Linked DNA regions of Drosophila melanogaster. The protein of the gene in region 2 purifies or fractionates together with the protein of the main gene of each other region. This does not show direct contact. Each region holds a gene or a part of one and is shown on either strand. Other genes may lie near its edges. The genes, in order: smg and Rbp6.

The links.
Region 1: the proteins of Rbp6 (region 2) and smg purify together in Drosophila melanogaster (affinity purification with western blotting, with the first as the bait; one study listed by BioGRID). This does not show direct contact.

What each region holds. Positions count from the first base shown.
Region 1 is NT_037436.4:8,990,943-8,998,785, forward strand, and holds the start of smg (smaug), read right to left. Parts: upstream 6,153-7,843; 5' UTR 5,912-6,152; intron 5,630-5,911; exon of another isoform or gene 5,540-5,629; intron 5,308-5,539; exon of another isoform or gene 5,120-5,307; intron 4,976-5,119; exon of another isoform or gene 4,781-4,975; intron 4,624-4,780; 5' UTR 4,526-4,623; coding exon 2,157-4,525; intron 2,100-2,156; coding exon 1,139-2,099; 3' UTR 1,102-1,138; intron 596-1,101; coding exon of another isoform or gene 554-595; 3' UTR 1-553. Other genes in the region: CG5087 (uncharacterized protein), read left to right, coding at 7,513-7,667, 7,721-7,843. UniProt on the Drosophila melanogaster protein: Translation regulator that binds to the 3'-UTR of specific mRNAs such as nanos (nos) and prevents their translation. Prevents translation of unlocalized nanos in the bulk cytoplasm via the recruitment of cup.
Region 2 is NT_037436.4:17,235,120-17,240,027, reverse strand, and holds the start of Rbp6 (RNA-binding protein 6), read left to right. Parts: upstream 1-1,815; 5' UTR 1,816-2,196; intron 2,197-3,965; 5' UTR 3,966-4,590; coding exon 4,591-4,676; intron 4,677-4,908. Other genes in the region: Afg3l2 (AFG3 like matrix AAA peptidase subunit 2), read left to right, coding at 1-917. UniProt on the Drosophila melanogaster protein: RNA binding protein that regulates the expression of target mRNAs at the translation level. May play a role in the proliferation and maintenance of stem cells in the central nervous system.

The DNA.
Region 1 (7,843 bases), 8.2 Mb from region 2:
AGTAGAGATAATCTAATCAATGACAATGGTGATCATGATCGGTATGCAATACATGGATTTGGCTTACGCTTAAATATGCAAAATACAATATGTGGTTCCGATTCTCAAACACAAACAGTGAAACATTGAAACTCTTTTCTGTTAAAGTTTAGTCTAGTGGTAGTTTCCGCCGTTGCGATTTCCTCTGGTGCAGTTACGGTTCAGCAAATATGTTCCTTTTAATTTAAAATAAATTATGTGTACGTGTATATATAAACATATTCATTATGTGACTACTACTTCATTCAGCAAGCCTAGTTTTGATTCGCGCAAACAATTATCAGCTCTCGTTTCTCAATTCTCACTTTTCAATTCCCTCTCCATCCAGCTTTCTTCCTTCTAGTTTTTATAGTTGCGAAAAGTAATCTTAGTCAGTCTCATGGTCACGATGCAGAGTTCATTTTATAATTTTTTACTAGATAAACCATTTTTCGTCGTCGTTCAGATCGGGGTATTTCTTTCATTTGGCGACGTTGTTGATAGTGAATGAAATAGTTGATGTTGTGATTGGGGTTTAGAATAGCGTAAAATGTTGATCAAATTTGGCCAAATTTTCCTAGGTAGAGAGAAGTTACTGTATTCTGTTGTTGCGATCTGTGTGTGTGTGTGTTGTGGGGCTTGGCTTGTTAGTTTAACTACATAAATGGCGACAACATTTACGAAACCTATACATTAATAACATTGACAGTAAGATGCCACGCCCCCGCTGACAACCGACATGGGATTACCGTCGGGGAGTGCAGCATGGGCTCCACAAGTTCATCGGCCAGCCGTTGGTCCTGCGAGCCCGAGTCAATTGATCATATCTTTGGGGGCGCCTTGGCATACAGTTAATAAACTTAACATTAAAACAAACTATCGTCTTACTAACTAAAAACGATTACAGAACGGGATGTGAAAGGAGACGCAGGGTGGACAACTTGACGCGACACAAAAATAGACACGAATCTTAAATATCTAAATATAAAAACATTTATGTTCGTTATGAAATCAAACATCAAACACGGCTCAAAGCTAAATGAACACAAAAACAGCTGGCAGCCTCAAATCTAACGCCATTACATGATGATTTCAAAACCCAGATAGCCCTGAATCTTGCTCAGTTCATTGCCTGTTCAGTCATTTGGCGACACAACGTCTCCAGCTGTTCTAGGCTCTTAAAGTCGTTCATCTTGTACTCGGTGACGTGGGGCGACATGCCCAGGCTGCCCAACGGTGACTGGGACAGGCAATGGTCTACGCCATGATTGTTGTTCTTGCTGCTTTGGTGACAGATATTGTGGACACAGGCACCACCACCACCATTGGAGCACAGACAGCTGCCACTGCCCACGGCGGCAGCAGCTGCTGCCAAAAGTTGCAACTGTTGCTGGTTAATCAAATTGTTGTTCAGCATGCTGTTGTTATTATTGTTGTTGATCAGGATCTGGGGCTGATCGTGCTGGTCCTGATTCTGGTTTGGATTACTAACCATCACAACAGCGGCCATGGTCTTCTTTGGTTGTTGCTCCGCACTGGACACTCCTCCGCTAAGTTTTCTCTGCTGCTGCTGCTGCTGCGACTGCTGATTGCGTTCCAATACCAGGTTGTCGTTAGATCCGTTGTTGGTGAGCACTCCCTGACCGGGCTTAAAGATCAATTGCTGCGGTTGCTGCGGACCTCCGGCCACCAGAATAAGATTATTCAGCGACCGGCGATGCGATTGTGGTGGCGTCTGCTGAGGCAGCGCTGGAAAGTGGTTGTGTTGCTGCAACATCTGTTGCATCTGCTGGGGATGATGATGCGACTTACTAGACGGCGGCGGTGGTGGCTGCTGCTGAGGATTACCCATGAAGCTTGGGTACGAGGAGCTCTTGTACTGCGGCTGATGGGATGGACCGCCGCCATAGCCGTTGTAGTCAAACTGTGGCAGAGGCGGCGGAGCCTGCTGCGAATGATGGGGCAGCGGGTGTGGCAGGCAATTTAGCGAAAAGTTTAGCATGTCGTTGGAGTTTTTGCGGTTGTTAATCCTATCGTTGCTGCCATTTTTAGTATCGCATTTGCGAGTCTTACCATTCCATCTAAAATAACAGCTCATTTTTAAAATGCATTACTTTTTATCTTATTGAAAACCTTACCTTGGCTTGTTAATGTTCCCATTGTTTGGCCCGACGCCGGCTGGCTTGACGTGATGCATTTTGGGAACCATGGAGATCTTCATTTTGGACAACTTAAACTTCAGGTCCTTGAGTTGACTGGCGTGATTCATAAATGCCTCGTTGTGGATAGAGCGGTCTAGAATCCACATAAGCACACCCAAAGTCTCGTCGTCTTGGACAGCATACGGATCCTGCTGCAACGTATTGGTCACAATGTCAATGACCTTAAGAAAACGCAGACCAATGTTTTCCTCCGGTGGTCCTGGAGACTCCAGTGGCTTCATTGGTGTCAGCACAATATTTGTTAGCTCCTCAACCGCCGTGCTCAGCTCCATTTGACCCGATAGCAGTTCTTGTTCTACCCGGTTAAGAATATTGGCCCGTTCCTTCAGCTTATCAATGCAAAGGGCAAGCTTGTGGGAGGCGCCCTTGGTGACGCCAACACTCTGCAGAAAGTCCTCGGTGATCAAGAGCATTTCCTCGTACGTCATGTTCTTGAACAGCTCGATGTACTTGTGCAGACGCAAGGATTTTAGCCAGAGTCCGATTCCCGACATGCCCACGTTGCGCGTGTGGAACTTAATATAATTGGGCTTGAATTCATCCAGACGAGTATCGGAACCGCTGTTCATCAAGGCGCCGCGCTGATGCTCAATCGATAAGGAAAAACTACGGGGCTTGTTGGCAAACTGTGCCAGATTCTCCGTTGAATTGGAGCAGTTGTCATTGACCGTGATCACCGATGAGTTAGACGAGCTGGAACAGCTAGAGATCGTTTGCGTGGTGAGGCTGTTAGAGCGCCGCGTCTTCAGGGCTGCAATCTTGCTGTCCAGGCTCCACCGGTTGATCTCTCCAAACTGATCGCCCACGTTTCCCATAAGGATCGAGGCATAGGGAGGAGGCTGAAGCAATTGCTGCTGAAGATTCGGCGGAGGTTGCGATCGATCCTCAACAGGATTTCCACCGTTACGTCCACAAAGGCTACTGCTGGCCAGACTACAGGCCTCACCCATGTCCGCCGTCACCGGGTCAAAATCGAGAATCTCCGTGCCATTCTTGCTAAATGACGTGTCATGATCGTCGCCACCAGCGATTCCCAACATAGAGCCTGCACCAGCGACCACACCGTTGACCAGGGAAGAGCTGCCCTCCAGCGACAGGCCGAGACTGTTCTGACTAGAAGCTAATTCGTTCAGGGTAATACCATTAAGATTATCACAGAGTGGATTGATCGACCCGCTGGAGCTGCCGCCTCCATTGCCACGCCAATCACCGGCCAATTTGTTTTGCAATTGCTTGCTGGGCGGGGCGATCGTTTGCCAGTCGTTGGTGCGTGAGGAACGGCTGCCGCTTGCGGGGCACAACGAGGATGAGGCCACCGACGAACAGGATGCTGTCGAAGAGCTGGTCGCCGAAGAGGAACAGCTACCACTGCCTGTTGAGCTACCACCAGCGACCAGTTGCGGCGAGGGCTGCAGGAAGTAACTGCGATTTGTCAGGCCCGCCGCAGCCGCTTGGATATGATCCTCCAAGTGACGCAGCCAAATGTTGAGCGAACGTCTGTCCTCGCTGGTGATAGCTGGATGGATGAGTAGGTACGAGAAGATCTGCTGCACCAACTCCGTGGGCACAATTTGCTGCATGGTGTCCTTGACGGCAACTGGTATAAGGGTCAGGTAGATAAGCTTGGCCTCCTCATTGCCCGGCTTCAGCAGAGGCAGCATGTTCAGTACTTCATGCAGAATGTCCTCCTTGCGGGCATACAGCTTCCGCTCGTCACACTGCGCCGATGTGGTGATCTGGAAGTCACTGCCGTAGCATGGCATCGAGTCCTTGTCGGACGACGAGGAGGACATGGCGTCGAGCAGGTCACATGGCTGGAACGTCTTGTAGGCGTTGAGTAGATTCTGCAGGTACACCGGATTGTTGGCATTGATGTCAATAACCACGCTGCTCAGATTGGTCTGGGAGGTGCCCAGGTTCTGGGTCAGGTTGCTGTCGATAGAATACTGTAGAAACTTGAGGCTCGGGTAGCGCAGCCGCTTGAGCAGCGCGTACATCACGACGGTTCGCTCGCAGTCGTTCCACTTCTCGAAGAGATTTGTCACTGTGGTCACCTGCTCGCAAAACAGCGCATTGGACGGCTGGCTCTGGCTGGGATTGGCGTTAGAATTGGGATTGCCATTGGCGTATGTCGCCGTCGTCGTGGCCGTTGATGTGGCCTCCTTGTGGGCTGCAGTAGGCGTTGATGTGGTTGGCTGCATCTCGTTGGATGCACTGTTAGAGTTATTGGTTTGGCCGCTGATGCCGGAGGTCATCGCGTTGTCAGTTCCAGTTGCGTACTTCATCTCGTTGTTAGTTGCTTCTTGTTTTTTGGGGATAGTTCTTACTATAGTTTATGGTATTGTATTTGTTACGGCTTCTTTGTGGTTATTTGGTTGCGTTGCTGCAAGTAAAGATAACGGGGTAGGATTAATAATTGAACTATTATGTAAAGCTAAACTTTGTGACTGTGGTAATACAATTTTTTTTATGCTCAATGAGCTGTATCATTCGCTTAAAGCCTAGTTTAGCCCAATCTAATCACTTCCATAGAAAAATACCACAATTCCGAACCACGTGATCCAATCAATAGCTTCTCCCTTATTCCATGGATTTGTCGCCATTGCTCCACTCGGGATTAGAGTGCCGTGCAGCGATAATAAAATAAACTTTAAGCCGCAAATAACGTTCGAATTTAATCAAATCAGTTTTCGCTAATTTGTTAAATTTACAAGCGCAATAGCAACAACAATTATCTGTAATTGACGAATGGAAATTAGCATTTGCTTGGTCGGCTGGCTTATCAGGAAAGCAAATAAACAAGCAACAAATATATAACACCTTCGATTCGCTTTGATGGCGCAAATGACGAGGGACGATAAATCAATAAAATAACAAACATTTCAAATACGAAATCGCTGATTTCGACTTGGCGGCGTTCGGATTTTGATTTCCGGGCGGGAAAGTAGAGCGGGGGCGAGAAGTTTGGTTAGGTTGTATTTTTTTTGCACAGTTTCGCGCTTTTCATTTAGTTTCGTTTGTGCCCATTTCGAATCTTGTTTCTTCTGCCGCCGTTGCTGTTGTTGTTATTATTGCTTTTACTCTGACGACTTTCTTCGATTTTTGTTGCCGTGTTTTCACAGTAAGCACACAAAACATTGAACAAATCAACGCATGGGAGTCAAAAAATTTGAAAATTAAAGTATCTATTTTTTAATGTAAAATGTAGTTTTAAGAGAAATTGCTGCATTTTATTTTTTTATCCTGGTTTACGACATCGAGTGTTGACTGTAATCTAAGCCAGAGACAGTGTAACTGACTGTGTATTGGTACCCCAACTTAAGTTAGTGTGTGTGAGCAAGCAGTAAAACATAACGGGCCCCAATTACTGCATTTAAAGCACATTCACTGCTATGGAATTTACCGATGTTAACTTCTTTGCTATTTAACGTAACGTTTTATATGAAATTTCACATTTCCCTGCGAGACTGGGAGCGCAAAAGAGTCGTTTGGGGCGACTCGATCTAACGGTACTTGTGCATGTCGATCTTTGAGGTTATGCGTCACTGCAATTGCTGTTGTTTTCTAACCGGCTTGCAAATAAAAAAATTACCGAAGTTCAACAAAAGTTCAAAGTTCAAAGATTGCAAGCACGCACACACACGCAAACGTAAAGGATACTGCAAACTCACACGCTCTTATATATTATCGTATTTTGGCTGCCCTTTCAGCAGTCGCGATCACAGGCGCTTGGCATATTCCGAACGCTTTTATTTACATATGTACGTTGCGAATAAATTTGATTATATCTGCAAAACTGCAGATCCAACCACACAGAACAGAAGAATTGGTTTAGCACAGCGAAGCTCAGCTGAAGACGAGAAGCTGCAGTGGGGAGCACCGCGGAGGAGGAGCGGCTGATGGCGAATGATTTGGCGCTGGCGTCAGCGATTTAGAAAGAAAATGGTGGAGCTGCAGAAGCAGCGCAGCGGCAGGCAGAGCGAAACGGGCGAAAAGGAGCGCGCGCCTTTTTTTTCTGACAGGATTGATGCTGATGCTGATGCTGCTACTGCTGTCAAGAAAATGGGGAGAGCACTCACTTACACGCACACACAGACGGAGACCTTGCTGCGCTCGTCGGCAGTGGTATGTGTGCGAGTGAGAGTGACACACTGAGCAATGCACGGGCAAAATTGCGGTAAATTACATGCATTACATTTAAGGGAGAGGGGTGGGGCTCCTGCGGGGTAAGCGGGTTTTGTTGTTTTCACCACACAGAGCAGCAGCGCACAGTACACAGAACACACAAGATTGGCCCCCAAAATCACGCCCCACCCACCTAGCCACGGTCGGCCAGACAACAAAAATATATAGCTACAGTGCGCTTGTGCCAAAATTCGTTCTATTTTTCAATTACCTTTTCGCCTTCTATTCGCCTGCTGCAAACCTTGAAATTATTTTCTGTTGCAATTCACAGTTTTGATTCGATCAGCACGAGAAACGAGCATATTTCGCTAATTTGATATGCTATCGGATCGCGTATTTATTAATTTATAATTTTCACCTTTGCTCGCGCGCGCGTTTGTGTGAGTGCGTATGTGTGTACTTTTTATTAGCACTTTTGGGCTTTAGCGTTGTTGTTTTTGCTAAACCATTACTTTTTTTTAGACACACAATTCATGGCGCTTACGCTCACAAACGCCCGATTACTGAGTACTGCGCACGGTTGCTGTTGCACTTGGTCGGATGCATGTTTCGCCAGCTAATCCATTTTTTCAGCAATTAATTAATTATTTATTCACGCGAACGCAGCGTTGCTAGTGCTGGAACAAAAATCGATGTGTACTCGATACAGTCGATCTTTCTTGCAAGCGGTTATCGGTTACTTTCCCTTGGTGATGGACGCTCAGTTGAGCAGCAAAGCTGCCCTAGGTTCGATGCCGTGCTCATGCAGCGCGGACTCAAACCACGGTTTTAGCTAGAAAATTGCCAACAAAAATGATCTCCGCGCTTTGGCCTATTTCTGTGGTTATTTGACAGTAAGCGGAGACGGTGACACTGTACCACCAATTGGAACAAAATAAGGATATTTTCTTTTTGCATTTTGCTCGATATGCAATGCAGAAAATATCCAGCGAGGCTCTGAATCAAGGCTCTGGGATAGCGTTCAGCTCGAGGAAGTGATTGAAACGATAAATACATCCCGGAACGGCCACAATCCCGACAAAAACAAACGCTCTGGTCAACAACAATACATCATCAACAAAATTCTTTCAACCTGCTGCAGAGCAAAATGTTTGCCCAAAACCAAAAGGCCAGCTTCCTGGAGCAGACAAAGGCGGCGCGGGAGGAGCGGGCACTGGAAAAGCGACGCGAACAGGCGGCCATCCTGCTGCAGTCCACGCTCAAGGGATATGCGGCGCGTAGGAAGTACCAGAAACGAATCATGTAAGTGTCTATCTACTTTTATGGAACATCCTAAATAGTAACCCGTTTTGCAGACTCGATTTCGATGCCATGTTCACTGAGAATCATGACGATAAGGATGCGGAACTGGAACTCGTGGCAAGCAACGTCTATCCGGTGCTTCGTCGCTACCTCACCCAGATCAGGCTGGACAAGAG
Region 2 (4,908 bases):
AGCTGAGCAGAAAAATGGCTGCACTGACACCAGGCTTCACAGGCGCTGACATCGCGAATGTTTGCAACGAAGCTGCTTTGATTGCCGCCCGCGACTCCAAGGATTCGATCGTACTCAAGCACTTCGAGCAGGCCATTGAGCGTGTTATCGCTGGCATGGAGAAGAAGACCAATGTTCTGGCGCCGGAGGAAAAGCGAACGGTGGCACACCACGAGGCTGGCCATGCGGTGGCCGGTTGGTTCCTGGAGCACGCAGATCCCCTGCTGAAGGTCTCGATTATACCACGCGGCAAGGGTCTGGGCTACGCCCAGTATCTGCCCAAGGATCACTACTTGCTGTCCAAGGAGCAGTTGTTCGATCGCATGTGCATGACGCTCGGCGGACGTGTGGCCGAAGAGCTGTTCTTTAATCGCATTACCACTGGTGCTCAGGATGATCTAAAGAAGATCACCGATATTGCCTACTCCCAGGTGGTGCGTTTCGGCATGAACGAGAAGGTCGGGCAGGTCAGCTTCGATGTGGGCCAGGCCGGTGATCCCGTTTTCAGCAAACCATACTCGGAGGACACAGCGCAGCTGATCGACAACGAGGTGAGGTCGATTATCAAATGTGCCCACGAGGCCACCACTAGTCTGCTGACCAAGCACAAGGAGAATGTTCAAAAAGTGGCGGAAAGACTGCTCCAAAACGAAGTGCTCAGCCGTGATGATATGATTGAGCTGCTGGGCCCACGACCCTTCAAAGAGAAGTCAACCTACGAGGAGTTCGTCGAGGGTACCGGCTCCTTCGAGGAGGACACCACTCTGCCCGAAGGCCTCAAGAGCTGGAACAAGGAAAAGGAACGAACGGAGCCTCTGGACGCTGGCAGCACGCCATCATCGCCGCCCACCAAGCCCGTAACTGCCCAGAGCAGTTAGGCAACGATCTTCGCTCATGTGGATGGGGAGTTTTGGTGTGGTAGTTCGAGGGTGCCGACATCTGTTTGTTTTTGTTGTAATCCCTAAACGCGGACCGGAGAAAACCCCGACATGTGGCAGATCGAGAAGGCAGGGCTCAAGGAGTTCCTAGACCTTCTGGAGTTACAGTTCTCCACGACGCGTTCATTATTGTTTTTGCATAATTTTAAGATACCCACATGGATAACTTGTTCCCGTGTTGAGCAATTAAGTGCTAGCCTGTACTAAATTCCCCGTATGCGTAGTTTCAAAATGGCAATAAAGAATGGAAATGACCTGTCAGTGTGGAAAAGCGAAATTAAACGATGTTATCAAGGCGAAAAATAATCGAATCAGTGTTGTTACTGCCTTACGGTTTAAACCCGTTTTCGAAAACAGCAAAAGTTGCAAAATACATACAATGTATTGCTTCATTATGTATATTTCATACAATAAAATGTTATGATAACATTGGAATGCAAAATTTGTTCTTAACTTTGGGATAGCCAGCTTTATTCTTAAGTTGACTGATAGTGCCAGGTTAAAATTTTTTTCAGTGTGAGCTTTTAAAGCTGCACGCGGTTTAAGAGAGTGCCGCTCTCTTCGGTAAGCTTTCTCCGCAAACTTTCGCCGGCTACTCTTCCTCGCTGCGGCTTATCACTTATCAGCTGTGATGCTGAAGTACATGCGCCATGTGCAGCCGGTAAATAGTGCAACTGCCGCAGTCGGCGCCTCTGCCGGTGCAAAGCTCCGTAGGGGCAGCACCAGCGGCAACAACAACAGCAGCAACAGCAGCGAAGGCAGAGAGTGCAGCAGTGCAGTCGACGTCGCTGCCGCCGGTCGTTTTGGGGCCGTCAGTTGGGTTTTGGGGTCTCGCCGCTCAGTGTCGTCTTGTTGGTTGTCGCGTTCGTGTGCGCGCACTGAGAAAAGCGGAACGCCAGCGTTGCACTAACCGTTGCAGTTTCTATATTACTCTCGAGTCGCCCGATTTCAGAGCTGTTCGTACCGCTCGTGGGAGTGCGTGCGTTTTAACCAAAACAACTACCAAATCGCGTACAAGATACCAAACCAATATAACCGAGAGGCCCGAAAGGAAAACCCCTGCTGTGGAGGGCATTTTGCATTTTGTTTACCTCGATGGCTGTGTGGAGTGCAATTTGACGATTATATAATATAAAATACAAAATACAAAAAATAGGGAAAACGAGTAACAGTGCGCGGCATTCGATTTTAATTGCAATCAACTACAATAACCGCTGAAGTAGAGGAGTTAAAGCGCAAACCTCTCCCTCGCACCCCCGCCCTCCCTCTCACTCACACTCACTAACACATTGCGTTTGTGTTGATCTTTCCTGCAAAATGGCTGCCGGCCGGCAAAATAACGGCAACATCCATACTTGATCGATAGAAAGAGAGCGGCAGAGAATCCCTAGCGATTTCATGTTTGATTTATTGGATTTTATTTTTCCTGAGACTTTCCTTTAGGCTTCTTGTTTGATTTCTTAGAAAATTAAAATTATGTATTTATGACAAATGGTGACCATTAGGATGAACAGAACAAGGAGGAGAATTTAATGCTAATGTTTATTTATTTTGTCAAGAAAATTATATTTAAATTTGTTTTGCCATTTGCATTTATTCTGCTTTAAGATAGGAAGCAAAATATCTCTTATCAATTAGTGTAAAATCAATCAACAAACACGTGTATTACATAAAATTTAAATTTGATTAATATTTTCGTTCCTTTTATTAGAGATCTTCGTTGTGATCACTTTTATAAAATGGCTGACATCGGTAACGGTAACTTCGATTACTGATCAATCGAGCGCCCCCTGTCGGCGATTCTCTTAGCTCTGTTTTAGTTTATCGTTTATTTTGTTTTATTTTGTGCTGCCAATTGTCGCAATTGCAATTGTCGGGTCACGTGTTTGTTGCTGCCGCCAGTTAACTTCTGCTCTCGTTGTAACGGTGCATGTTCCCTGTGCGGGTGTGTGTGTGCTGATGTACGATTGTGTGTGTGCGTGTCTGTTCGTGAAAGCTTGCATGCTGCGCGTTATTATATTGTTGCTGGCGTTGTTGTAATTTTTGTTGAGGGAGTCACTGCATGCAATGTTCTTCTTGCCCTTTCGCACCTCCCTATCTATCTATCTCTGTCTTTTTCTATTATTTGTTGTTGCTTTTACTGCTGTTGTGGGTGTGGGAAAAATCAAGGCGCGTATTAAGCACAGAAAATGCAAAAAAGAACACACACAAAATATAGGAAAGCGAATAATTTCGGAGAGAAAGCAACGGAAAATAATTGCTTTAACAAGCAAAAGTTCAAAGCTATAAAATTTGGATGCCAGCATTTTTGAATTTCCGAAAAATTGTTCGGGAAACCAAGGTGTTTCTGGCGTAAAAAAAAGTGTCACTTAAAACCTTTTTAATGTTAAAAATCGTTCAGATTATTTAACAACGATGGGAATTTATGAAATTAGTAGAGAGCTTTTTACTAAATATTTGGAATTTTATAATTATTACACAAGCTCACAATAAGTAAACACGTATACTTATAATTTTTGAAAAACATTTGGATCTTTAACCTTTTATATTTAGTTTTCTTAATTTTTTATGAGACGCCTATTCTAAGAAAATTAATTTGATGGCTCATGCCATATGTGTAAAGTGAGTCAAATTTATTTCAAACAAAGATCTTTTACAGTCTTAGTACCGCATCCCAATTGTCACTCAGCCGTTACTTAACCGCCCCCCTTTTCCCACCCGTTCCTCACCTGGCTTTTCCACGGTTTTCCTCCCTCTCTCTCTCTATCGCTCCCACATCGGTTGCACTTTTTTGCATTTTACGATTGTTCGTTGCGAATCATTGCATTTTAGGGGGTGGGTGGGGGTGGTGCAGCAGCTGCGGATGGGTGGGAAAGCGAGGAGTGGCGAGGGGGAGCGAGTGAAGGGGAAAATTGCATTTTCAAAAGTTTCCCTGGGCAAAGTTTAAAATTGCAATTTAATTAATTTTCACCAAACACAACGAAACAGATCTTTTGCAGTAATATGTTGCCTTCAAATCAATTGGGAAACCAACAACCAAAGTTAACGCAACGTTTCTAAAACTTAAAGTCTAAACAACAAACGAAATAATAGTTACGAAATACACAATAATATTTAAACCAAACCAAAAGTGGCCTGCAAAACGAAGCAACCAAAACAACCAAAACAACCAAGAAATGTGATTCAATGTGTGCAATGTAACCAAATTATAATTAACAAGCTAAATAAAACGATAACTAGAGCAGGAGAAAAGCCGTGGAAAATCAGCGGGAAAGCCAACCAAAGCCAGGCCAAATGGAAAACAAGGAATCCGGCAGCCAATCGAACAGCCAACTAGCAGCCATCGTGGCCAATGATTAAGGGAACACTCTGTTAGCCAACTCGTAGTAGCAGCATCCCCCGTCCACACATAACACCCAGTAACACAGCCACTCAGCCGCACAGAACCACTCGACCTCCCCTCGCATCTCGATGCTCGCACAGAAGGCGTTGGAGCAACAATTATAGAATAGACAGCCAGACGACCACATCAGCTCAGCTCAGCCCCAACTGCAAACTCCAATCACCAGCTCCAGCTCCAACTCAATCTCAATCCCGAGCCAAAACCCCCAACATGGACATCAAGATTGAGCAGCAGCAGCAGCAACAGCAAGTGGAGCTGGGACCCTGTTCCCCCTCGGAGGTGCCCAATGATCCCGGGTAAGTGTGCTGCTCTTATATGTACATGTATACCCTAGCGAAAGGGTATCTCAGAAAGTAGAGAATATATTTTAATCAACTTGAGAAGAAAAAGATTTACTTCGATTTATTTATATTACTTTCGCTCTACAAGCACTAAAAATCACCATCCTTAAAAGGATGTGCGAAATTTATATTTCAGTTCTGTAAATCATAATTAAAATATATTTTCCTAAGACCCTAACTTAGATTT